4 linked regions of the Caenorhabditis elegans genome follow. The gene in region 2 interacts genetically with the main gene of each other region. Each region holds a gene or a part of one and is shown on either strand. Other genes may lie near its edges. The genes, in order: pptr-2, efl-1, F22B3.8 and lin-40.

What was found.
Region 1: of efl-1 (region 2) and pptr-2, changing one enhances a phenotype caused by changing the other (phenotypic enhancement), as found in Caenorhabditis elegans (one large-scale study listed by BioGRID).
Region 3: of efl-1 (region 2) and F22B3.8, changing one enhances a phenotype caused by changing the other (phenotypic enhancement), as found in Caenorhabditis elegans (one large-scale study listed by BioGRID).
Region 4: of efl-1 (region 2) and lin-40, changing one enhances a phenotype caused by changing the other (phenotypic enhancement), as found in Caenorhabditis elegans (one large-scale study listed by BioGRID).

Annotation. Positions count from the first base shown.
Region 1 is NC_003283.11:11,026,964-11,032,721, forward strand, and holds pptr-2 (Serine/threonine protein phosphatase 2A regulatory subunit), read right to left. Parts: upstream 3,862-5,758; coding exon 3,717-3,861; intron 3,546-3,716; coding exon of another isoform or gene 3,500-3,545; intron 2,958-3,499; exon of another isoform or gene 2,842-2,957; intron 2,822-2,841; exon of another isoform or gene 2,681-2,821; intron 2,425-2,680; coding exon 2,359-2,424; intron 2,320-2,358; coding exon of another isoform or gene 2,308-2,319; coding exon 2,215-2,307; intron 2,169-2,214; coding exon 1,855-2,168; intron 1,812-1,854; coding exon 750-1,811; intron 694-749; coding exon 550-693; downstream 1-549.
Region 2 is NC_003283.11:16,959,667-16,967,370, reverse strand, and holds the start of efl-1 (E2F/DP family winged-helix DNA-binding domain-containing protein), read left to right. Parts: upstream 1-1,695; 5' UTR 1,696-1,697; coding exon 1,698-1,845; intron 1,846-1,891; coding exon 1,892-2,022; intron 2,023-2,069; coding exon 2,070-2,179; intron 2,180-2,837; coding exon 2,838-2,988; intron 2,989-3,776; coding exon 3,777-3,920; intron 3,921-6,973; coding exon 6,974-7,208; intron 7,209-7,704. Other genes in the region: fbxa-90 (F-box domain-containing protein), read right to left, coding at 1-339, 387-457.
Region 3 is NC_003282.8:11,422,157-11,426,935, forward strand, and holds F22B3.8 (Tyrosine-protein kinase), read right to left. Parts: upstream 2,775-4,779; 5' UTR 2,730-2,774; coding exon 2,724-2,729; intron 2,542-2,723; coding exon 2,396-2,541; intron 2,349-2,395; coding exon 2,125-2,348; intron 1,978-2,124; coding exon 1,784-1,977; intron 1,734-1,783; coding exon 1,470-1,733; intron 1,425-1,469; coding exon 1,355-1,424; intron 1,296-1,354; coding exon 1,150-1,295; intron 1,099-1,149; coding exon 838-1,098; intron 791-837; coding exon 677-790; intron 634-676; coding exon 565-633; 3' UTR 521-564; downstream 1-520. Other genes in the region: kin-4 (non-specific serine/threonine protein kinase), read left to right, coding at 3,586-3,644.
Region 4 is NC_003283.11:3,703,175-3,708,011, reverse strand, and holds the start of lin-40 (DIOX_N domain-containing protein), read right to left. Parts: upstream 3,018-4,837; 5' UTR 3,001-3,017; coding exon 2,872-3,000; intron 2,805-2,871; coding exon 2,696-2,804; intron 2,635-2,695; coding exon 617-2,634; intron 1-616.

The sequences.
Region 1 (5,758 bases), 5.9 Mb from region 2:
CTTTGTTTATTCCTAAACGCTTATAATGCTCCTTCGTCTCATTTCGTGTATTTCATACATAAGTGCATATTGATGTGCAAAGAGTGGGGTTAGCATTCGAAAAAGAACATATAAAGAAGGATTTGGATGAAATGAGCCAAACCCCTCGTAAACCTTCTGCCTAATATATATTCCCATGATTATTCCTATGCAGATTTTAATGTATTTCACATGGCTTCTCGATTCATTTATAACATCTAAATCCAAATCACTACCAAAATGGGGGAAATTATTACACAATGAAAAGTCGCATTTGGATTTGCGATGATGGTGAGGAGAGATGGAATTTATGGTGCATATTGATAAAACTGAAATAAGTTTCGAAATATTTACAGGTACGCAAACATAGATGTGATTAAGGGCAATTTTGGAGAGCAATAAAACGGTGATAAGGGTCATGGAATGGTCAATATTTTAAGAAAGGAACGGAAACTGGGTAAGGAAGTCGAATCATCGTATAATAAACCCGGCACAACATGGAGAAATTGGCACCCGTTGAAGTCTTCTGCATCACTGTTCGTCGGTGCTAGTCACTTTCTTCAAAAATGGATCGTGACGCTTGTACTCGCCTAAAGCTCTCGTCGTTTGCTCATCTGGAGGGAAATCGGATTGTTTGTGGTTGGGTCCGAAATCCATATCGTTTTTCATCGAGCTCTGTAATGATTCGTTATTGTACAAAAAAAAAATATTTCTAGGTTTTTGTAACTTACCACTCCTACAGCATTTTTCAGAATTTCATCCTTGCTAAGCACAGTTGAAGTCTTCATATTCTCGTCAACTCCATTCTGCTGACGCGAGCTGATGATTTCATCTGGATTAAATCGAGCAAATAGTGCTTTAACTTCAACATATTGCGGGTTTCCCATTGCCTGTTTCTCAATATTGTTCCAGATGCGTTCTTTTTCTTCATTCAATGTCTTTTCTTGAACTCGATCTTTCTGATAAGCTTGGGAACACTCGTCAAACAGTTTTTGATTCATTTCCATGAACATCTTGAGGGCGTTGTAGATAAGTCCATGAATCGTTTTATTCCAATGTGACTTGCTGTTTTTGAAAAGAACAGGGAACATTATTGGAATTATCACACGAGCATTGTCCGCTACTAATGACATCACATATTCATTATTCCAATAGTAGAGAGCTCGTTCGGCAACTTGGAAGTGTGGACTGCTGACACAGCGAGCAATTTGTGAGAACAATGGAGTCATGATTTTTTGGAACTCATTCGGCTCTATCACATCGAGGACTTCTTCCAATTCATTCAGGAACATCACTTCCTTGGGACTATGTTGTTTTGGCCAGAAGCGTAGCATCCCACTGATTACAGGCTCTGTCAGTGATGAGTCTTTTTCAATGAACTGTACGACACAGTACGCGAGTTGAGGATGATATACAGATAATGATTTGACCTTGTGTAGCGGAAGAAGAACTCGGAGCAAGAAAGTTTTGTGTTCCTCTTTCAAGGGAAGAGCGAATCCATTGATAATGCTACCTAGAATCTCGAGTAATTCAGCAATCCCGTTGTGCCTCTCAGTTTCGTAGATGAACGAGTAGAAAATGTTGTTGATTTGCTTCCGAATGTAAGCACGATGTCCGAGGAACTTTCCATAAATTCGATGTAAAGTTGTCTTCAGAAAGTCACGTTCACGTGGATCTTCACTGTCCATAATCATGAGAAGACGAAGAATGAAATTTTGATCAATGTAACGTTTTGCAACTTGAGATTGAAAATCGGGGCACTCCAGGAATCTCAGGAAAAACTCGTAGACGAGCTGAAAATATTTACTTTAAATAAGAGCAGAAAATAAATATTACCTGCAGATGTGGCCAGGCAGCTTCTAATGTTGGTTCGTCTTCATCGGGGTCAAATTCAGCACCAATTGGATTGGTCGGTGGGCTCAAAGGACGGAAAAGATTAGTGGAGAACATGCCGATAGCTTCTGGATAGACAGCATCAGATAGCGATCCTTTTGGAGCTCCGGAAACGTGGTCGACGAGTTCATTTAGAGCTGCCCGTTTGACTTCTTTGAATTTTAAATCGCTGAGAGCATCATTGGCAAAGTCAAAAACAACGCAGCATTGTCGAAGTTTTTGAATGAACAGTGTTTCTCTCTCGCTCGGATCCGCATCTAAAAACGAGTTTATCAATACGGTAATTAAAAAAAACATTATTACCTTTGATAGCTGGAAGTCTTTGCAGCTCTCTGTTTTGTGAAATGTTGAACATGCTACTTGATTGGCGGCGCTCTCTTCGCGGTATCACTGGCCCTGAAATTAAATCTGTCTCTATAGTTAATTAGTCTTCGTTTAAACACTAACCTCCTCCGTACGTGTTTGTTCGGCCAATATTTGTTGGTGGTGGTGCATCTGCAGGAATCATATCTCCTAGAAATGATAAATATGAGGGCCGAAAATGGAAAAATCAATGATTGTGATTCAAAAAAAAATTTATCCGAGAGGAGTACACTAGTGGTGGACTAACTATCCCATTTTCGATTTCTGCGGCCTCGTCGAGCATTTACGCGGGAAATTCAAATTCAAATGTACACTACAAAAGTTGTTTCGTGAAGTTGGGGAAATAGCGAAATGTCTAAGCGTTTGTAAGAAAATATCTACTATGAACAAAATAATATTTTCTCCAGAACACTAAAATGTTTTTTTCTTTGGTATGCGCTGCAAAAAGACTACAGGAAAGGCGTAACAAACCAAAAAAACACAATCAAACTAATTGAGCTGGAGTCCTAATCCGTTCCAACTATCCTATTCGAATTATTTCTAATACCTTCTTCCGTGATACAAAATAACGCGAGAAATAGAAGAAGAGTAGGGTAAATTGATGATAGAAAAGAAATCTAAAGGAGCAAGACAGGCGCAGAGAAGAAAGAAGGTCGTTTTTTCTGTGAGAAATAAAGAAAATGGGGGGGGGGGGGCAAAAAGAAGAAGAGTTTGAAGGAGTTTGTGGAAAAGTTGGACATCAATAGTGTGCCTTGAGGGCTCACAGATTTCTTGTTGTTGGTTGGATGGCTTGTTCCTCCCCCATCTAACTGATAAATATTTTCACTCAATATCTTCATAAAATGTAGTGCATTTGATTTCAGATCCGATACATTTCTACTTATTTATACTTTGCATCCATTTCAGTTATTCAAAAAAATGCAAGTGGTCAAAAACCTGCCTACCTCGAGAACTATAAGATGCTGAAAGGGAGGACAGCTTCAAAAATTATTTACTGAAGAAAACTCTAATCAAAACCTTAATCTCGAATCATGTTGTTTTTGTTTCCGAATAGTATATGTTTTCATGATAAAATTCGACACGCCGTAATCTAAACTTTATAGGCTCGCTGTATTGTCTTCACAGGGTCTCACAACGATCTCCGCTCGTTTCGAAGAATTCTCAAAACTCTACGATAGGAACCACTCTTACTCCTAAATGTTCTCAAATAATTTAGACTACTTACTCGTTTTCTGTCGTCTTTTCTTTGATCTCTGTGGCATTTTATTCATTGCTATCTTTGGTTGATGGTTGAAATTACTCGATGGTTAGAAAGAAATGATGAAAAATTATGCTCTCGGAGAACCGTGGAAGAATATAGATTCACGTGAGATTTTATTGAAATTGACTTTTTTAAAATTTTGTGTTATCATCTTTCCCGAATAATCAAAACATTAATTTACCTCCAACATCTTCTGTTCGGATCGTAGGAATTGTAGATGCCTTACTGCTTCCAGCACCGTCATCTTTCATTGATTTCTTATCCTTCTCTTTGTCCTTTTTCTCTGATTTCCCATTTTCCTTGTCCTTCTTCTTTGATCTCAACATTGCGGATGCGGAGCCGACCGCCTGAAATTAACAACATGAAAAATTCAATAAAAGTATGAAGAGACCTTTAAAAAATTAAAAAGAGAATACAAGGGACAACAAACTGAGCAAGTGACCATTTTTCATTGTTTCAAAAGTGGAAAAACGTTGTTGACAAGAGATATTATGTTTTCAAAGCAACGGGGAAAAACTGAGAACACACATGATAACATGCACATATGCACCCAAATCTGTTTTTTAGAAAACTACAGTAACCTATGTAATAAATGCAATCTCAAGCAGTATGATTAACTGTAGGAGAGGAATTAATGGAATGCAAAACCATGGAATTCCATGTGGCTCTAACTAACAAAAAATGACATCACTACATGAATGAGAAAAATCATCTGTCTTTACTTAAAAACCATCGTCACTTCGGAAATCGGAAGACGAAAAATAAAAAGCGCGGAGCAAACGGCGCCGTCCCTCTTCCCACGCTTTGTCGTTTTTTCCTACAGCTCGTCTTCTGCTTTTTCAGCGCAATTTTCGATTAACCAGCCCACTTCTTTTCTCTCGTTTTTTCCTTAAAGATCGAGCTTCATCCTCTTCAATTTCCAATTACTGCTGCTCTTTTGAGAGTAAAAGAGTAGACGATGTCAAGGATCAGATTCTGATGAAAAAAAGAGAGCAGGAAGAATTTGGCAGTCTTACTCGTAAGATACAAATACTTGACATATAAGTATACGAAATATTTTATGGGTTTGCCAAAAGTGAACCCATGAAGCAAAGAAAATAGCGGTCGTGCTGGATTGCTGAAAAACAGGTGAAATTGTGTGGTGCCCCCAACATAGAAACAAGCAATTAGAATTCTGTTGTGGCTCACATATCGCGTGTTTTTTGACAAGCAAAATGAGAAAAGGCGTTTTCGTAAGAAAGCAGAAATAACTGGTGAAAAAACGAGTAATAAATCTAGGAACTTTTTTTAATATATTCTATACGAATATGCAATGAATTGTAGCTGATCACAGACAAAAAATTGATGTACTTTTGTGCACCGAGTTTTTTTTTTCTAGATTTAAGACTTTTTCTGAATTTAACATTCTATTTTTCCTTGAAGGTTCAGTGATCAAGTGATGCCATTGCAAGTAATACGATAAAAAAAATAAATTAGAAAGGATAAAAACGGTCAGAAGCATCGTGCCGTCTTGAATCAAGTTTTAAACTAATTAATTTTCTAAACAAGCTTAAAATGTTTTTATTCATTTTTATCTGGTTATTTGTGTGAACACAGATGATTCACCGCTTGAAAAATACTTATCGACACCAATAATTTAGATGCGTTTGTGTTTTAATATTATAGATTTAGAATTCGAAATATTCATACATGCCCCATTTATAAAGCTTTAAAAGTTGAACCACATCGTACGCTTGTAAACTCCGCCGGCGTCTGCGGAACAAAAAAGTCCAAGAATCGATTGATAAATTTCGAGAGTAATTATATAAATAGAAAACTTAGCCAGCAACTAATTAATGAATAAGTCCCTTCTAACTGTTGGGATTTTTAGGGTATTGTTTTAAACTATCTCTAATTATAATGAACCAATTTTTATCCACTTTTCAATTATATTTAAAAAAACGGGTTTCATCGAAGCTGAAACAAGTAAGACTCTAGAAAAACAAAATATTCAACATTGCCGTTCCTAGACACAAAAACATACATTTTTGTTAGAAATCGTTAAAAACTGACACGTGATGACGGAGGGTGAAACTAGTTGAAGAAATGAAATCTTGTCCCGGGGTCTGGGCGCCAGTATTGGCATCATATTTCTGTTTTGAAAATCAAAGAGCACAAAGGAATTGGCTATTGTGAGTATATGCATGGCATTGAACCAGCGTAAAATCCCAAAGTCCCTTACGT
Region 2 (7,704 bases):
TCGAAAAATGACTCAATTGCCTTTAAAATGATTTTTCTTTCATTAAAATTGTTGGTAGCCAGCTGTATCAGAAATTCATCAACTTCAGGGTACTTCACCAAGCTCTTCAAGTCCTCCATCAACATTTCAACGTGGTTCCTTCCAGCATGTACTCGGCCACTGTTCTTATATTCAACTTGGCAGGCTCCATCAACTTGCTCATAGGTAACCCCGCCGTAGTTCTCATCGAGAATTAGTCTTGAAAATTTTTCATGAAAATTTACATGAACCGTCTTCAGATTTGGACCGAGGTTATCGATTATTGCTCGGAAGCTGTAGGACACTTTTCGAGCGATTAGCCTGAATTTTCAATGCTTTTTTTCTTTAAAAAAACAAGGAAAACTCACCTTTCCAAAGCTTCCAGATTATTCAAAATTTGTTCAATAAGTTCGATTGGCAAGTCGGAGAGTGATGACATTTTGAGAAATTTGAAGAAAAAATGAAGTGATTTCAACACAGTTCTCTGTGACTAGTGGCCTAGTTGGACAGCGCAGAGACGCAGGCGCACCAGCTGACTAGAGAGTATGAGAATCAGACACCGAAGGTGTTTCAGAACTGGCCGCCAACTTGAACCTGTAAAATGTAGGCACAGCTTGAACCCTTGGCTTTAAATAAAATGTAGTCTTAGTTTGAAACCATGTGTATTCAGACAGGCTTTTCACTGTCTTACTTCCAGAAATTTCAGGAGTCGCATACGAAATTTACGTAGCAGTCATCGAAATTTTAAACAGAAAGCTAAGACCTGCGGCTAAGCCTGAGACTAATTTTAGGCCAAATTTTTGAGCCTAAGCCTAACTATTAGTTAGACCTTCTTATGTATTTGGCGATGGCAAAACGGTAATATCGAAGATTTTCAATTATTTTTGCCATTTTTCAAACAGTTCATGTGTATTCGTATTAAAACATTGTAGGGGTCGAAACATGCGACATTTCTTTAAATTTCCTCAAAAGCTCGTATTCAAAATTTTGGTAAATTGCCAAAAATTTTTTTTTGAAGTTTTATTATGATATTTGATCTTTTTTACACTATTGGAGTAGTTTTTAACACTTTCCCCACTGACGCTACTCCACCTTTAATAACGTGGTGACGTCACAATCTTTTTGTAGATCAAACCGGCATGGGACAGCCTGACACCACGTGAAAATACCAAAGGAGGCGAAATTTTACAAATTCAATTTTTGTTAAAACTGATTTGAGCCCACAAAAACAAAAAAGTGATGGCTAAAAAAAAGTGATGGTTAATTTCACGACACTACTTGAATAACCCCATTTTATCTGAATTTACGGTTTTGCCGCCAAATACCTAACGGGGCCCAATTTTTTTGGGTTCTAACTTTTTTTGTCTTCAAATTCAAATTTCCCCTTATTATACATTCAAAAAACCACGTACTTCTTTCATTTTTATCTTCTCATTCAAGCGAAACTTTTTCCCGCGGAAATTTGAGTGCAAGCGCGCTCCACTGCACCTTTCTCGTCTGCGTCTCCACCTTTCCCATTGTCTCTAATCCGTGACGAAACCTCATCATTTCTCGCATTTTGGAGGGGAATTCAAATTGATTTCTCTTGGTTTTTCTCGTTTTTTCTTGATTTTTCTCGTTTTTCAGCTCATTTTTAACCAAAAAATCGGATTTTTCAACTAAAATTCCGCATTTCAGCCATGGAAGACTCGTACAACGACATGGAAGACCCCGGCTTCCGCCAATTATCTGACATGGAGCTTCAAAAAGCGCTGGAAATGACCAAACAGAGCTCGATAAAGAACAATTTGATGCTCGGGCTCGACAATGAGCTTGACTTTGATTTTGGTACAATATTTGTCGAATTTTAAGCCGAAAACCCCGAAATTTCCAGATTTCGACGAGGATGAGGACCTGGATCAACCACAAATGGGCACACGAGCCGATAAATCGTTGGGATTGTTGGCGAAACGATTTATTCGAATGATTCAGTACTCACCGTATGGAAGATGCGATTTGAACACTGTATTTTTGAAAAAAATCGTGAATTTCGCAATTTTCGTATTTTTTAGGCCGCCGAGGCGCTCAATGTCCGGCAAAAGCGACGAATCTACGATATTACGAATGTTCTCGAAGGAATTGGTCTTATTGAGAAAAGAAGCAAGAATATGATACAGTGGAAGTAAGAAAGTCGAATTTTCAGCAGGAAAAATGACGTTTTTCAATGAATCGGCGGAAAATCGTATTTTAACAAGAAAAATGACATGTTTAGAAAAAAAATCAATTTTGTGTCAAAATATTGATTTTTCAGCTCAAAAAGCTTAAAATGCAAGAAATTTCGGAAAATTTCAGATTTTTACGTGAAAAATCGCATTTTCAGCCAAAAAATGGCGCTTTCCGGCAAAATGGATGAAAATCACATTTTTTGGAATATAGCTCCTATTTCCTGTAAAAATCGATAAATTCGATTTCTAAAACACTAATTTTTGAGATTTTTCACCGAAACAAATCGAATTTTCATATGAAAATTTCATTTTTGACACAAAATCACTTTTTAAAGTTAAATTTTCAATTCAAAGCTCAATTTTGTGGCAAAATCCTTATTTTTCAGCTTAAAAACATGAAAATTGCTGAAAATTTCAGATTTTTACGTGGAAAATCGGGTTTTCAGCCAGAAAACACAAGAAAAGGTCATTTTTAACACAAAATTACATTTTCAAAGCCAATTTTTCTATAATAGCCTCAATTTCGCTCCAATTTCGGTGAAAATCTCTATTTTCCGGCTCAAAAACCGCTTTTTTGCACATTTTTCCCCGGAAAACTCAATTTTTTGTTTTCAGAGGCGGTGATTTTATGCTAAACGTGAAGGAAGGGAAACGACAATCGGCCACAACAGAAGAAGAAGATCGAATGGAACAATTAAAAGCTGAAATTGAGCAATTAAATAAGGAAGAAGAGCTCATTGAGCAACGTCAAAGATGGCTTCAGCAGGTAGCGAATTTCCAGAAAATTTGATGAAAAATTTGCTGAAAATCGATGAAAATTGAGCCAAATTTACGCAAAAATTGGCTGAAAAATGACCAAAAATTTCAGAAAAATTCAGCCGAAAATTGAGAATTATTTGCTGAAAGTCGCTAAAAATTTGATCAAAATTGAGCAAAAACTGGCTAATTTTGATAGAAAATTGAGCAAAAATCACTGGAAATAAGGCTGGAAATTGGAAAAAATTTAACCAAAAAGTCCTGAAAAAAATAGAAAAATTCAGTCGAAAATTCTGGAAAAATATGGCTGAACATCATTAAAAATTGAGCCGAAATTTAGAAATAATGGGGCTGAAAATCGCTGAAAAAAGCTGAAAATTTGACTTAACTTCCTGAAAAATTAGTCTGAAAATCGTTGAAAACTGCTGAAATTTTGCCAAAATTTCCTCCAATTTTCTGAAAAAAATATGGATGAAATTTCGAGAAAATCAAGATAAAAATGGTGCCAAAATGATGAAAATTTTGTAAAATAAATTCTGGAAATTTCGGCTAAAAATTGCTTGAAATTGGTCCAAAACTGCTGAAATTTGGCAGAAAATTTCTTAAAAATTCAGTCAAAACTTCTGGAAAATTCGCTGAAAAATGGTCAAAAATTCATTAAAATTGCGGACAATTTTTCTGAAAATTTATAGGAAATTTCAGGCAATCTGAGCCAAATTTTCCACAATTTTTTTTTGAAATTTTTGGTCAATTTTTCGACAGTTTTAAGCCAAAACCGCTGAAATTCTCAAATTTCAGAGCCTCCGAAACATGACAGAATCCGTGGAGAACAACAAGCTCAGCTATGTGCTCCGTTCACAGCTCGCCGAGATTCAAGGCTCAGATCTTACGATTGGAATTCAAACGAGAGTCGGCACACAAGTTCGGCTCAGTGATCCGGAGGTAGAGAAGAAAATGACGCGAAAATTGGAATTTTCAATGAAAATTTAATGGAAAAACCTGGAAAATTGTGGAAAATTCATATTTTTCTTGGAAAAAACGGGTACAAAACCCGATTTTAACTGAAAAAAACGCTGATTTTTGCTCAAAATTAATTCTTTTTAAGAATTTTCGATGAGAAAAATGAATTTTTTAATTTAAAATACATAAAAAACTAGAAGACTGTCCAAAAACCGAAATTTCTGTCAAAAAAGTGTAAAAACTTCTCCTCGTGGAGTACACGAGCTGCGTAAATCTACGCAATATTTTTCTGTGTTTTTTGTATGCAAATTTGTAAAAAAAATATCAAAAAAATAAATTTTTGGCTGAAAAACGGTGAAACATAATTTTAAACAATATTTAAATACAAATTATTTGTTCTAAAAATTTTTTAAAAATTCTTAAATTTCCCTGATTTTTAGCAAAAATAACGAAAATTCTTCAAAAAATTTGATTTTCTGCTAAAAAAAGTGTAAAAGCCTCCCCTCGGGGAGTACACGGGCTGCGTAAATCTACACAAATAATTTTTTTCAGCTAAAAATTGATAAAACGAAAAAATTAAATAAAAATGTTAAAAAAAAAGAAGAAACTTTTTCAATTTTTAGAAAAAAAAAAGAAAAAAAAAGCTCCTTTTTCCAAAAAAAAGCAGAATTTTTTTTTGTAAATTTCCCAAAATTTGGCGAGTTTTCATTTTTTTTTTGTTGTAAATTTGACGATTTTCGTAAAACTGTCGTAAAATACAAAAAAATAGACTTTTTTTCGAAATATTTTGTTAAAAATCAGAAAAAAAATTTTTTTTAATTGATTTTAAAATTCACAGAATTTTTTTCGATAAATTTCAGAAAATTCCTGAAAAAACTGAAAAAGATTTTCAAAAAAAAAAACGCAATTTTCGCTCTATTTGGCTCTAAAAAACAAGACAATTAAACAAAAATCAGAATAAAAATTTTAAAAAAATTGTTTATAAAATTTTTGATAAATTTTAGAAAATTTCGGAAAAATCTTCTTTTTTTTCAAAAAAAAAATCGAACATTTTCAATTTTTATTTTCCCCCATTTTTTCCAATGAAATTAAAATTGCAGCAAGTCGATTTTTGATCGAAAAAAAGCATTATTTCTATGTGAAATGCATAAAAACCTATTACGGGAACAATAAATCATGAGAATGCGTACTTGGTGCATTTTATTTGACGCGCGATATCTCTTAGCGAAAACTACATACAGTAAATGCTTAAATATCTATTGTTATTTGAGTTCTTACTGTAGTTTTCGCTAAGAGATATCGCGCGTCAAATAAAATGCACCAAGTACGCATTCTCATGATATATTGTTCCCGTAATAGAAGACTGCCCAAAAACTGAATCTTCTGTCAAAAAAGTGTAAAAGCTTGTCCTCGGGGACTACGAGCTGCGTAAATCTACACAATATTTTCCTGTTTTTTTTCTCAATTTTCGCTTTTTTTTTTGTATGCAAATTTGTAAAAAATATCAACAAAAATTTTTTTTTGGCTGAAGAACGACGAAAAATAATTTTAAACAATTTACAAATCATTTGTTCTAAAAAATTTTTTTTAAATCACACTTGTTTCTTAAATTTCCCTGATTTTTAGCAAAAATAACGAACATTCTTCAAAAAATTTGATTTTCTGCTGAAAAAGTGTAAAAGCCTCTCCTCGGGGAGTACACGAGCTGCGTAAATCTACACAAATAATTTTTTTTTTGGATAAAAAATTGATAAAACGAAAAAATTAAATAAAAACGTAAAAAAAAGAAGAAACATTTTCAATTTTTAGAAAAAAAAAAAAGGAAAAAAATGCTCTTTTTTTCCAAAAAAAAAGCAGAATTTTTTTGTAAATTTCCCAAAATTTGGCGAGTTTTCATTTTTTTTTTGTTGTAAATTTGACGATTTTCGTAAAACTGTCGTAAAATACAAAAAAATAGACTTTTTTTCAAAATATTTTGTTAAAAACACAAAATTTTGTAAAAAATCCGAACAAAAATTATTAAAAAATTCATAGAATTTTTTTTGATAAATTTCAAAAAATTCCTGAAAAAACTGAAAAAGATTTTCAAAAAAAAACGCAATTTTCGCTCTATTTGGCTCTAAAAAACAAGACAAATTAAAAAATATCAGAATAAAAATTTTTAAAAAAATTGTTTATAAAATTTTTGATAAATTTTAGAAAATTCCGGAAAAATCTTCTTTTTTTTCAAAAAAAAATTTTCAATTTTTATTTTCCCCCATTTTTTCCAATGAAATTTTAAAAAAATTGCAGAAAGTCGATTTTTGATCGAAAAAAAGCATTATTTCTATGTGAAATGCATAAAAACCTAGAAAACTGTCCAAAAACCGAAATTTCTGCCAAAAAAACTAAAAACTTCTCTTCGGGGACTACACAAGCTGCGTAAATCTACACAAAAAATTTTTGTGTTTTTTTTTTCTCAGTTTTCGCTTTTTTTGTATGCAAATTTGTAAAAAAGTATTTAAAAAATAAATTTTTGGCTGAAAAACGACGAAAAATAAATTCTAAAAATTTACAAATTATTTGTTCTAAAAGATTTTGAAAAAATTACACTTGTTTCTTAAATTCAGCAAAAGCAGAATTTTTTTGTAAATTTCGCACAATTTGGCGGTTTTTTAATGGAAATTTGACGATTTTCATAAAATTGTCGTAAAATACAAAAAAAATAGTTTTTTTTCAAAATATTTTGTTAAAAATCAGAAAAAAAATTTTTTTTAATTGATTTTAAAATTCACAGAATTTTTTTTCGATAAATTTCAGAAAATTCCTGAAAAAACTGAAAAAGATTTTCAAAAAAAAAAACGCAATTTTCGCTCTATTTGGCTCTAAAAAACAAGACAATTAAAAAAAAATCAGAATAAAAATTTTAAAAAAATTGTTTATAAAATTTTTGATAAATTTTAGAAAATTCCGGAAAAAATTTTTTTTTTCAACAAAAAATCGAAAATTTTCAATTTTTATTTTTTCCCCATTTTTTCCAATAAAAAAAATTGCAGCAAGTCGAGATACACGGTGGACCATCTTGGTGTTACCTGAAAGATCCCTCTGGACCCCTCCGAGCCGCCATCGTTTCCAACCATGAGCTACATGATTTTGTACAGAGAGAACGAGCAAAACGGCCTGGTGAAGAGCACGTTGACGCTGATGCTCCAGATGAAATGATGGATGATTCAAGATATCGGAATCGGCGGACGATCAATGATGATGAAATGTTTGGTTTTGAGCAGAAAGGTGCTGCTGAATTGCTGGAAATTTTGCTTATTTTTTAAAGCAGAATTTTGAGAAAAAATGGATTTTTTTCACTGAAAGTAGCTAAAAAATAGCTTAAAAATGAAGAATTTTGAAAAAAAAAATTGGAAAAATCATCATTTTTTCCAAGAAAACACCAAAAAAACTGGACTTTTATGGACGTTTTTTCGAAGCTAAAAAATCCAAAAAATTTACTTTTTCTGATAAAAAACATTTTCCTTTTGTTTTCTGCACCGTTTTCTAGAGTTTTTCGAATCGAAAAATAATTCTCAGATTTTTTCACATGAAAATTTGAAATTTAAGCGAAAAAAACATCAAAACTGTTTTTTAACAAAAAAAATTGAAAAAAAAAACCGGAAAACCTAGAAATCCGCCAAAAAATTTGAGAAAATTTTCACAAAAAAAAGCATAAACTGAATTACATAAAATTCTTTTAAAAATTACAGAAAAACTGGGAAAATTTGGGAAAATTACCTCT
Region 3 (4,779 bases), on a different chromosome or scaffold from region 2:
GTGTGAAAATATGATACAGTCTTAATGGCTATTCATGGTCATTTTCTAGCAATTCGAGAAATTCGTAAAATGAAGTAGACAGAAATAATTATGATCCAGTGGTTCAAATGTGTCCCAAGGTATTTTGAAGTTTAGTTTCTAGAAATGATGTGTTTAATGATGCAAACCTTCACATTGCAAAAATGAAACTGAAGTTTGAAATTGCAGTTTGCGTCATGGCTAAAAGACCTACTCCCCTTAAATTTTCAATATTGAAAAACTGGAAAATTCGATCATTCTAGTTTTGAGCAAAACGAGAAATCAAAGTTCACACCAGAGACAGTTATTTTTTAAAAGCTGAAAAAGAAATGTTAGTCGTTCGTTGAGAGCCCAATTGTATAGAATTTGTATCAGGGGTGGGCGGTAATTGCCGTTCGGACCGGCAGTCTCAAGGTAGTCTCAAGAAAATTTTTTTTTTAACTATTCGAAAACCGAAAAATGTTTTTTGGAGCAAGTTTTCAATATTGTGCCAAGTCGAAATAATTTATTTAAAACTTAAAACACCAAGTAGATCAATTTTTGTAACTACATCTTGTACGAGTATCTCATCTTTGTCAAGTCCACCTTCAACATGTCGCCCAGGAACGTTGATACCTGAAACATCATATGGTGCACTACTATTAGAAGTTACACCTACCTCGGGCATATCGGGTCTTTTCTTATCATCAACTACGAACAGCTTTGCAGCCACATATTGTTGAAGAGCAACTGGTGCCTCTTGGTTGAATTTCACGAACAGCTCCTTCCTGATCTGAACTTTTCAAGCAATTACAACAAATATCAAGATAAAGAACTAACCAGCTCCTTAATATGACGTCCTCTGAGTTGCGTATTTTTTGGAGCAACACATTCTTGGTGTGGTTGAGCTTTCATATATGGCTCCTGTCCGTTTGCAAATATTTCCCAGATGACAAGACCAAACGTGTAGACATCGGTTTTGGTGGAATAGACGAATGAGCTCAACGTCTCTGGAGCAAGGTACCTGACAGGGATCTTCGTGGCTTTTCGCATTTTGTAGGAGCTCGCGTGCTTTGCCAAACCGAAATCGGCAATCTTTGGCTTAAATTATTCGATTATAAACGATGTTAAACTTTAAAATATAAAAAATACCGTCTTATCCGCTGAAACCAAAATGTTCCGAGTCGCCAAGTCACGGTGAATGAGCCCTTTGAAGTGAATGTACTCGAGCCCACACGACGAGCCAAGGCAAAACCGGAGCTTCTCATCCACGCTCACTTTGCTCTTTTGCAGATAGTCTTTCAATGAGCCATATGGAAAATGGTTTTCAAATAATTTTTCTAAACACTCCACTAACTTTCACAAAACTCGGAGACCAACATAATCGGCTTCTTGAGGAGGAAAACTCCGCGGAATGCGAGAACATTCTGAAATTATTTTTCTCTGCCTAAATTTTCAATCTATCGTCTCACCTTATGTCTCAACTGTAGCTGCAACCTTGCTTCGTGCATCACTTCCAAAAGAGCCGCCCTCGAATCGTCGTTTTTCACCGTCTTGACTGCCACGTCACACCACTTATGAAACTCCTTCTGATCCACACTAAACGGTTGTGCCCATCGTCCCAAGTAGACTATTCCAAAGGCACCTTCTCCCAACTTCTTTGGAGTCATATCAATTCCTTCTGCCCGGAGCTCCCAGTCTTGTAGCACGATAGGGCGTTTCAAGAATACACGTGTCTGAAAATTAAAGACCGTCTGGAAATGGCTAGAAAAGCACTCAAACATACATTGTGATAGCAAATCGGGTTGACCTTATAGTAGTTGATAAGCTCATCAATAGTCGGAAACTTGAATCGCCGCTCAATATAAAACGAGGTCCATTTGCCGGCGGTTTCTTCAATAAACAAATGCATATCCATGTTCTCTTTCTTCACATCCTCCAGATCCCCATAGAAACTTCGTGTGGTGCCGGTTTTTTGTGCTGAATAGGGAACATAATTGTAAAATCTAGAGTTTTTCAACGAACAGTGAGGGCAAGTTCCCCGCAACAGCTTGACAACTTATGAGAAGTTCATTGAATAAGTTTCCAAGCTGCTAGGAAGTTAAAAAAACAAAAAATAAAACAAACTGATATTGACGGACAGAACAAGAATGACACGAGTCAGTGGAATCGGATCAGTGGCACTTTTGTCCGGAGTCGTCGGCTTCTTCGCATTCTTCTCTGGTTGATGCGACAATCTCAGGAGAAAGTCTCCGTTCGTCTTCAACAAGATCAGTTGTAGCTCTTGGAGCACAAAACCATGGAAAAATTGGTATCTCAATAAATAATTGTCAATCATTTCATTAGTTACTCTGGAAATTAAAAAGTGTTTTGGGATATTTGGGATAAAGTTGCTCACCTTCCAACGCTTTTAGTTTTTTCTACATTTTGATACATTGAGTCGTCCGGAAAATTGATCATAACTGAGTTTGAAATACTGCTGCCATCTGTTGTCCTTTCAGTCTTTTCGGTCGTTTCACTCTTACATTCTTTTTTCTCAGATTTCTGAAAATTGAAAATTACATTTTACTATACCAGGAATACCGAATTTGTCTTTTTTTTAAATAATCATACTACAGGCGACCCATTGCAGGAAACTTATTCTAGAATTTCTGATGTCTTATTTTATTTTCAGGTAGACGCGTAGCCAGGTACAGGCAGGCTCGAACTCCCGCACTCCAACTCACCTTCATTGCAAAAATTTTACGACGATTTTGAGTAAAATTATATTGGGAAATAAATAAGTTTGCCTCGTCGTATTTGTTTTTTTTTTCAATTTTTTTCACGGGAGTTTATGTATTTAAACATACAGACAGTGATACAACTCAAATTCAGAAAACTTCCAGGAATCAAACTTCATCTGAAGGATTAACGGTTAAACCAAATTTTCCTGACAACAAAGTGCAAAGTCACTGCTCGACAGTTAGGAACAACTTCCTACTCCTGCCATAATTTAGCATCTTCCTATCAAACCTTTCATCAGCGGCAAGCAGGCAGGCGAGCACGTCTGAAAAATTCATGTCTACTATCGAACCCCTTAGAAAATATATTCATTTTTTGCAATTCACAGGATGTCAAAATATTGAAAATTGTTGCTTATAGAGTGGAAAAAAGGAGATTATTATAATAGCTGGTCTCAAATGTCAACGGCAGAAGTATTTAACTAGATTAATATTTTCAAGTTTCATGTTTTCGGATATGTCACCATTCACCATACACTTTACCATTATCTAAATCTAGAAATGTTACAGTAATCCATGAGCACACAAAATCAGAAAACGAAGAGCAACCTTGTGATGAGCTGGAAAAAGGGGATTAGTAGAGGTGAATGTTGAGAACAGGAAAGAAAGAGAGAGTGAGAGGATCAGAAATACTTTCAATTTATTTATAATTTTATTCACATCACAAATCTCTCTCCACTCAACTGCCCATAGTGATTGATAAGCTCCGGCGTTTCGCCTACTCAACGTTTCCCTCCAAAAACTCCAATCTAACTTTTTATTTTTGTTTCTAGCCAATCTTTTTTTTTTTCTATAGTTTCAGAATCAAATGCTCAATTTTGGAGTCGTTATGTATCAAAAGAAGAGCCCAAGTAATGCAACAGAAAAGTGAGTTCTGAGTGTATCTTACCAAACCGAAAAAAGTAAAAATGCAACCTATAAAACAAGATATTATCTCTCTCATTGCAATAGAAATCTCCCCCTAAAAAAAATCTCTTTGCACATGTCTCTGTCAGTTCTTTTTATGTTTTGCGTGCATAGAATTGCCGATTGTCGGATGATTTTCTTCTTCGTTCGATGAAAGCGGAAATAATAGAGAACAGCGTTTTATTGTGGTTTTTTGTTTTTTCGTGTCAAAGTTTCTGTAAAAGTCATGATGGTAGAATTTGTTCTAACTGTTTTATTCTTTTATTTTTAACTTTCAATTTAATTATAAATCAATTGCATATTATTGTCCATGTAATTAAGCTTTTAAGTTATCAAGAATAAGTTGAAAATTTTATTTGCAAATATTTTTTATGTCGAATTTCGATGCAGATAATGTTTTTTTTTTCCAAAACCGCTAAAATTATTTCAATATTCTTTATTTTTTTTCTATAGTTAAAGAAAAATTTTTTTAGAAAATTAACAAAAAAACTAAAAAATTACCAAAAGTTGTTCATTTTGATGAGAAAAAACATGAAATGTTTTCTCTGAAAAAAAAGGAAAATGGTCAAAATGTTAATATATTTTTGCAAAAATCGAATTGTTTTCGAAATATCTGAAAAACTAAAATTTTTCGGAAACGGTTTTTCTATAATACGCTTTGTATGCCAGGATACATTAAATAGAGAAAAATTGAGACAAAGTCCAATTACTGAAAGTGTAACATTTTTCTTTAAATTATGATCTAGGATAGTTTGTTAATGAAGCGATATTGCTTCTTGTATGCATACCTATGTATGTATGTCATTTCCGAAGTATTATAATATGTATCCTAATCAAGAACATGGATCATAAACATCTTTATTTTTATTATTTTATCTTTATTTTTCAACTCGATGTAAATTAAAAATCTTCACTAGTAGCCAGTAGCTCGACTTTGCAAATGCGTTCGTTTTAGATTTCGTCTTGTTTCCGATTGGCCCGGTTATTACGTAAGCACCTAAATTTTAATGTTATTGCATCTCATCACTACTTAAAAATGAGTCAAGTTTTTGAAATAGAAATACGAGCTTCATTGTGAAGATCACGATATTCTTTT
Region 4 (4,837 bases), about 13 Mb from region 2:
AAAAACGAAAAAAATGCAGTTTTTTAAAGATTTTGGCTCAGTTTTCTATATAATGAGAGTTACGACCAATCAGCGATTAGCTCCGCCCATTTTTCAACCAATCAGAGGAATGTGCGGCGCTGGTTGGTTTGAAATTGGGCGGAGCGAATCGCTGATTGGTCGCAGTTCTCATTTTGAAGAGAATTAGGCCTATATTGAGCTTTTTACCATTTTGGCCGAGTTTCCTCCAAAATAAGACCTGCGACCAATCAGCGATTAGCTCCGCCCATTTTTCAACCAATCAGAGGAATGCGCGGCGCTGGTTGGTTTGAAATTGGGCGGAGCGAATCGCTGATTGGTCGCAGTTCTCATTTTGAAGAGAATTAAGCCTAAATTGAGCTTTTTACCATTTTGGCCGAGTTTCCTCCGAAATTAGACCTGCGACCAATCAGCGATTAGCTCCACCCATTTTCCAACCAATCATAGGAATGTGCGGTATTCGACGACGCTGATTGGTTGAAAAATGGGCGGAGCGAATCATTTATTGGTCGTAGCTCATTTTGGTGGGAATTTGGCCAAAATTGAGTTTTTCAATTTTTTTTTTTGATTTTTCGTGCAATTTTCAACCAATCCTTACCCTGGGCGTTGCGACCACTTGCGGCGTCGTTTGCGCCTGCCGCTGTTGCTGCTGCTGAATCTGTTGTTGAATTTGTGCCTGGATTTTCTGAGCGAAATTCTTCTGTAGCTGTAGAAATTGCTCCTGGGTGATTTGGCCACGTGCCAGCGCCTCCTTTGCCACATTCAACAAATTCTGCTTATCACCACTGTTCAGCGTCATGAGCATGTTGGCGGCGGCAGCGCGCTGCTGCTGCTGTTGTTGTGGAGTCAACGTGTTCACCGCCGCCGTGGCAGCCGCCTTCTGAGAAGCTGGAGTTCCATTTGAGGCCGCTGGCGTCGGCGCTACCGGCTCCACCGGTGGCGGCCGCGTCTTGTCGAACCGCTCGAGCTCGTGCTTCTGATTGAGCCCGGCGAACTTCTTCCACTGAATCCAACACGTCGAGCACAGAACCTTCTTATCGCCGACACCTCCCCACTGATACCAGTTGAGAGCGTCCAGCGTCCCGCAATTCTCACACGGATTGTCGTTGTTCATCAGCGTCGTCTGGCTAGTGTTGTACGGAAGAATCGAGGCGGCGATCGGCTTGTTGAACGGCGGAATGTAGATGTTGGTGAACTTCTCGTCCGTCGTCGTCGAGCTTCCACCACCCGCCGATGGCTTGTTCTTCTTGCGATCTGTGTATCGATTGGAGGCCTTCATAAGGTAATAGTACTCGACAATGTCCCGAATCGACTTCCACGGAAGGTACTCGGCGCGGATCTCATTGAAATCCTTGCCCACCTTATCCAGCGCATCCTCGAACAGATTCATCTCGGGCGTCGACCACTCTTCCAGCTGATCCCGACACAAAATCGGTCCGCCAAGGGTCTTAGTCTGCAGGCCGCTTGAATCATCGACCTGGCACGGGTACGTGTCTCGAGAGGCCACTGGGACCAGGTACTTGACAGCCTGCCCGACATCATAGTTGGCCTGATGAAGGATCGCGTGGGCGTGGAAGATGGTGACGTCACGGGAGGCGAAGGCGGCGGCTAGCTGAAGAGTCGGAAGCTTCGGCGCGGAAGCTCCATCGATGGCTCGGGCGAATAGGCCGACTGATCGGGCCACAATCATGTACTGATCAATGTCACGGTCGGTGAGAGCGTGGTGCGGGTGCCAGACGAGGACTTCACCTACTTCACCTTCGGAATCGGTGGTGGTAGCTTCCTCTTCCACCTTGGTCTCTTCCTTTTCCTCATTCTTCAGCTCCGGCATCTCCTCATCCTCGGCGATCGTCAACCCATCATTCTCAGTGTCCTCCTCGGCTTCAGCCTTCAACTTTGCCTCCTCTTCCTCCTTCTTAACCTTCTCGGCCAGCACCTTCGCCTCCTTCGCCTCCCGATCGGCGGGCTCCATCCACTCATCCACCACCGCCTGATACTTCTCGCCAACCCTAATAGCACCCTTATCAGCCAGCAAAGTCTGCGCATTCGGGTCATAGACAAGGGAATGATAGAAGGTATCATCCAGAGGCAGGTAGTTCTGAGCCTCTTCACCATCTCCCAGAAGAACGACTCGACACTTTCCACGAATCGCCGCTGCTGGAAGGATCTCCGATTGCCTCGTCATAAAGATCTCATGCTGTCGGAGCTTCAGCCTCTGATCCGGGGTGAGCTTGTCGACTCCGAGCGGAAGGCCTCCATCACCCCAGTCAATGAGCTTCGTGGCTTCTGCTTCGGCAGTCTCCTTGAGGTTTTTCGCGTTTTCCTTGGCTTCTTTTTCTTCTTTTTTGTCCTTTGCGGTCGCTGCTGGAGCATCCGACGCCGATGGCTCCTCAGTCGAGCTGGTTCTTCCCTGCCCAACCGGGGCCGGGCATTCTTCGTCCTCTTCCATTTTCTCTGCCACGTCATCAGTATCTTCCTTCACTTTTGTTTCAGACGTCTCCGCAGAAGCTTCGGTGGCTTCTGGAGCAGCTTCTGGAGCAGCTTCAGAAGCTCCATTGACAACGATAAATCCTTTTGTGGTAAAATTCTCGGGCTTCTTCTTATCCACTTCGTAATCTGAAAAAAATTGAATTGAATTTTAATATTTTCAAATAAAGTAAGCTGGGGAAAAGCTCACAATTATCGAATCGCCTCTGCGCTTGATCGGCAATTTTCAGCAAATGTTGTGGAATGTCACGTCGTCGGAGGTAGACGACGCATCGCGCATCCACGCCGCCCTTTTCTGTCTGAAAATTGAGAAATTTTGGGCTTTTTCAGGCTTTTGGGGCTTTTTTTCCAGCCAACTAATCTAACCTTGACAAGCTCCTCGATTTTGCGGATCTGATATGGAGCGTCGGTGGCCGACGTGTCGTCGAAATAGACAAAATCGCCGACGGCGTACGTGACTCGAGTTGATGTTGACGACAACGATGATGAGCTCATCGTGACCCGTTAAAGCTCTGCAAAAATTGGAGGATTTTTTGGGGAAAAGTCGAATTAGTCGAAAAGTCGAAAATTCGAGAAATTACATTAAAAAAATGTTTTTATTTTGCTATCAAAATTATTTAAATTTCTCCATTTTCGCCCAAAAAGCACAAAATTTCGCGATTTCTGCTTTAAAAATGGTCTCGAAGCGACAATTTTTTGTTAAATGTGGTGCGAAAAAGTGCGCGCCTTTAAAGAGTACTGTAATTTCAAACTTTTCGTTTCTGCGGAATTTTTCTTATTGATTTTTCGAAGGCTTTCTCACCGATTTGTTCAAATTCAGAAAAACTAGGAATAATCGATTGAAATTCCGGGGAAACGAAAATTTGAAATTATAGTACTCTTTAAAGGCGCACACCTGTTCGAATTTAACAAAAAATTGTCGTGTCGAGACCCGGTATCGTATTTTTGGAGCAAAAAGCGCAATATTTCGCGTCCGGATAATAACCAAAATACTAAAAATGAGGAGACAGTGCGAAAACTCTAAATTCGGTAAAAAAAGCATTAATTTTTTGAAATTTTTTAGCTTTAAGCGGAAAATAGAGAAATTCGAATAATTTTTGAGTGCACAAAATCGATATCATCTGAAAAGTGAAAAAATAATTAAAAATTATCCGCATTTTTTGCGCTATTAAAATTTTTTTTGAAAAAGAACAAAATAGATTTTTTAAAATTGGAAATTAATTAGTTTTTTAAAAATTAAATTAAATTTCAAAAAAAATCCAGAAAACGGTCCTTCTCTTTCGGATAAATCGCCGTGACAACTAGAAAAAAGGATAGATTCAGACAACGAGAGACATGGAGAGACGCAGAAACAAGAGGAACGTCCAGCAGCAGCAGCAGCAGAGGGAGAGACGAAGACATAGGTGGGGAGGGGTCACTCGGAAGAATGGTTAAAGCGTCGGAAATAGTACTGAGACCACGGAGACGCAGACGGACGGGCAGAATGGAGACGAGTGAGAGAGCGAGAGATATAAAGAAAAGAGAGAAGAGGCTGCAGGAAGGATGCTCCCCCGACTTATTAAAGGTACCATTACGGGAACACAAAATTCTAGTGAATGCATATTGCACAACATATTTGACGCGCAAAATATCTCGTAGCGAAAAAGAAAACTACAGTAATCCTTTAAATTACTACTGTAGTGCTTGTGTCGATTTACGAAAATCAAGCCCGTAAATCGACACCAGCGCGCACAGTAGTCATTTAAAGAATTACTGTAGTTTTCGCTACGAGATATTTTGCTCGTCAAATGTGTTGTGCAGCATTCTCAGAATTTAGTGAACCCATTTAAAACCGCTTGGAATCAAAAATTTTGCCGGCAAAATCGGAAATTTGCCGATTTTCAGGAATTTTTCGTATTTTTTGATAAATTTCCCGTTGTTTTTTTATGATTTTTATGCCGAAATTTATGAATTTCAGCTAAATTGCCAATTTTGACGTAAAAATCATAAAAACTTACTGAAAACGTAGCAAAAAATTCTAAAAATGCTAGAAAATCGGCAAAATTTCAGATTTTCCTATTTTTTTGAAATGCAATTGAAAAAATCCAGTTCAAAACAGTCCTACAAGGCTGAAAAGGGCAAAATAGGCTTGTAAGTCGGGACGATCGAGAAAATATCGACCGCTTTCGATATAAATTGCAGAAAAACGCGGCGGCATACACTACATTCAAATTTAGTACATCGCCGAGTTATAGGCCCCCACAGTGAGAGAGTGAGAGAGTGACAGAGAGTGGGACAACGAGAGAGTGTGCAGATCGAAGAGACGACAGAACACGATGGCAATTCAAATTAT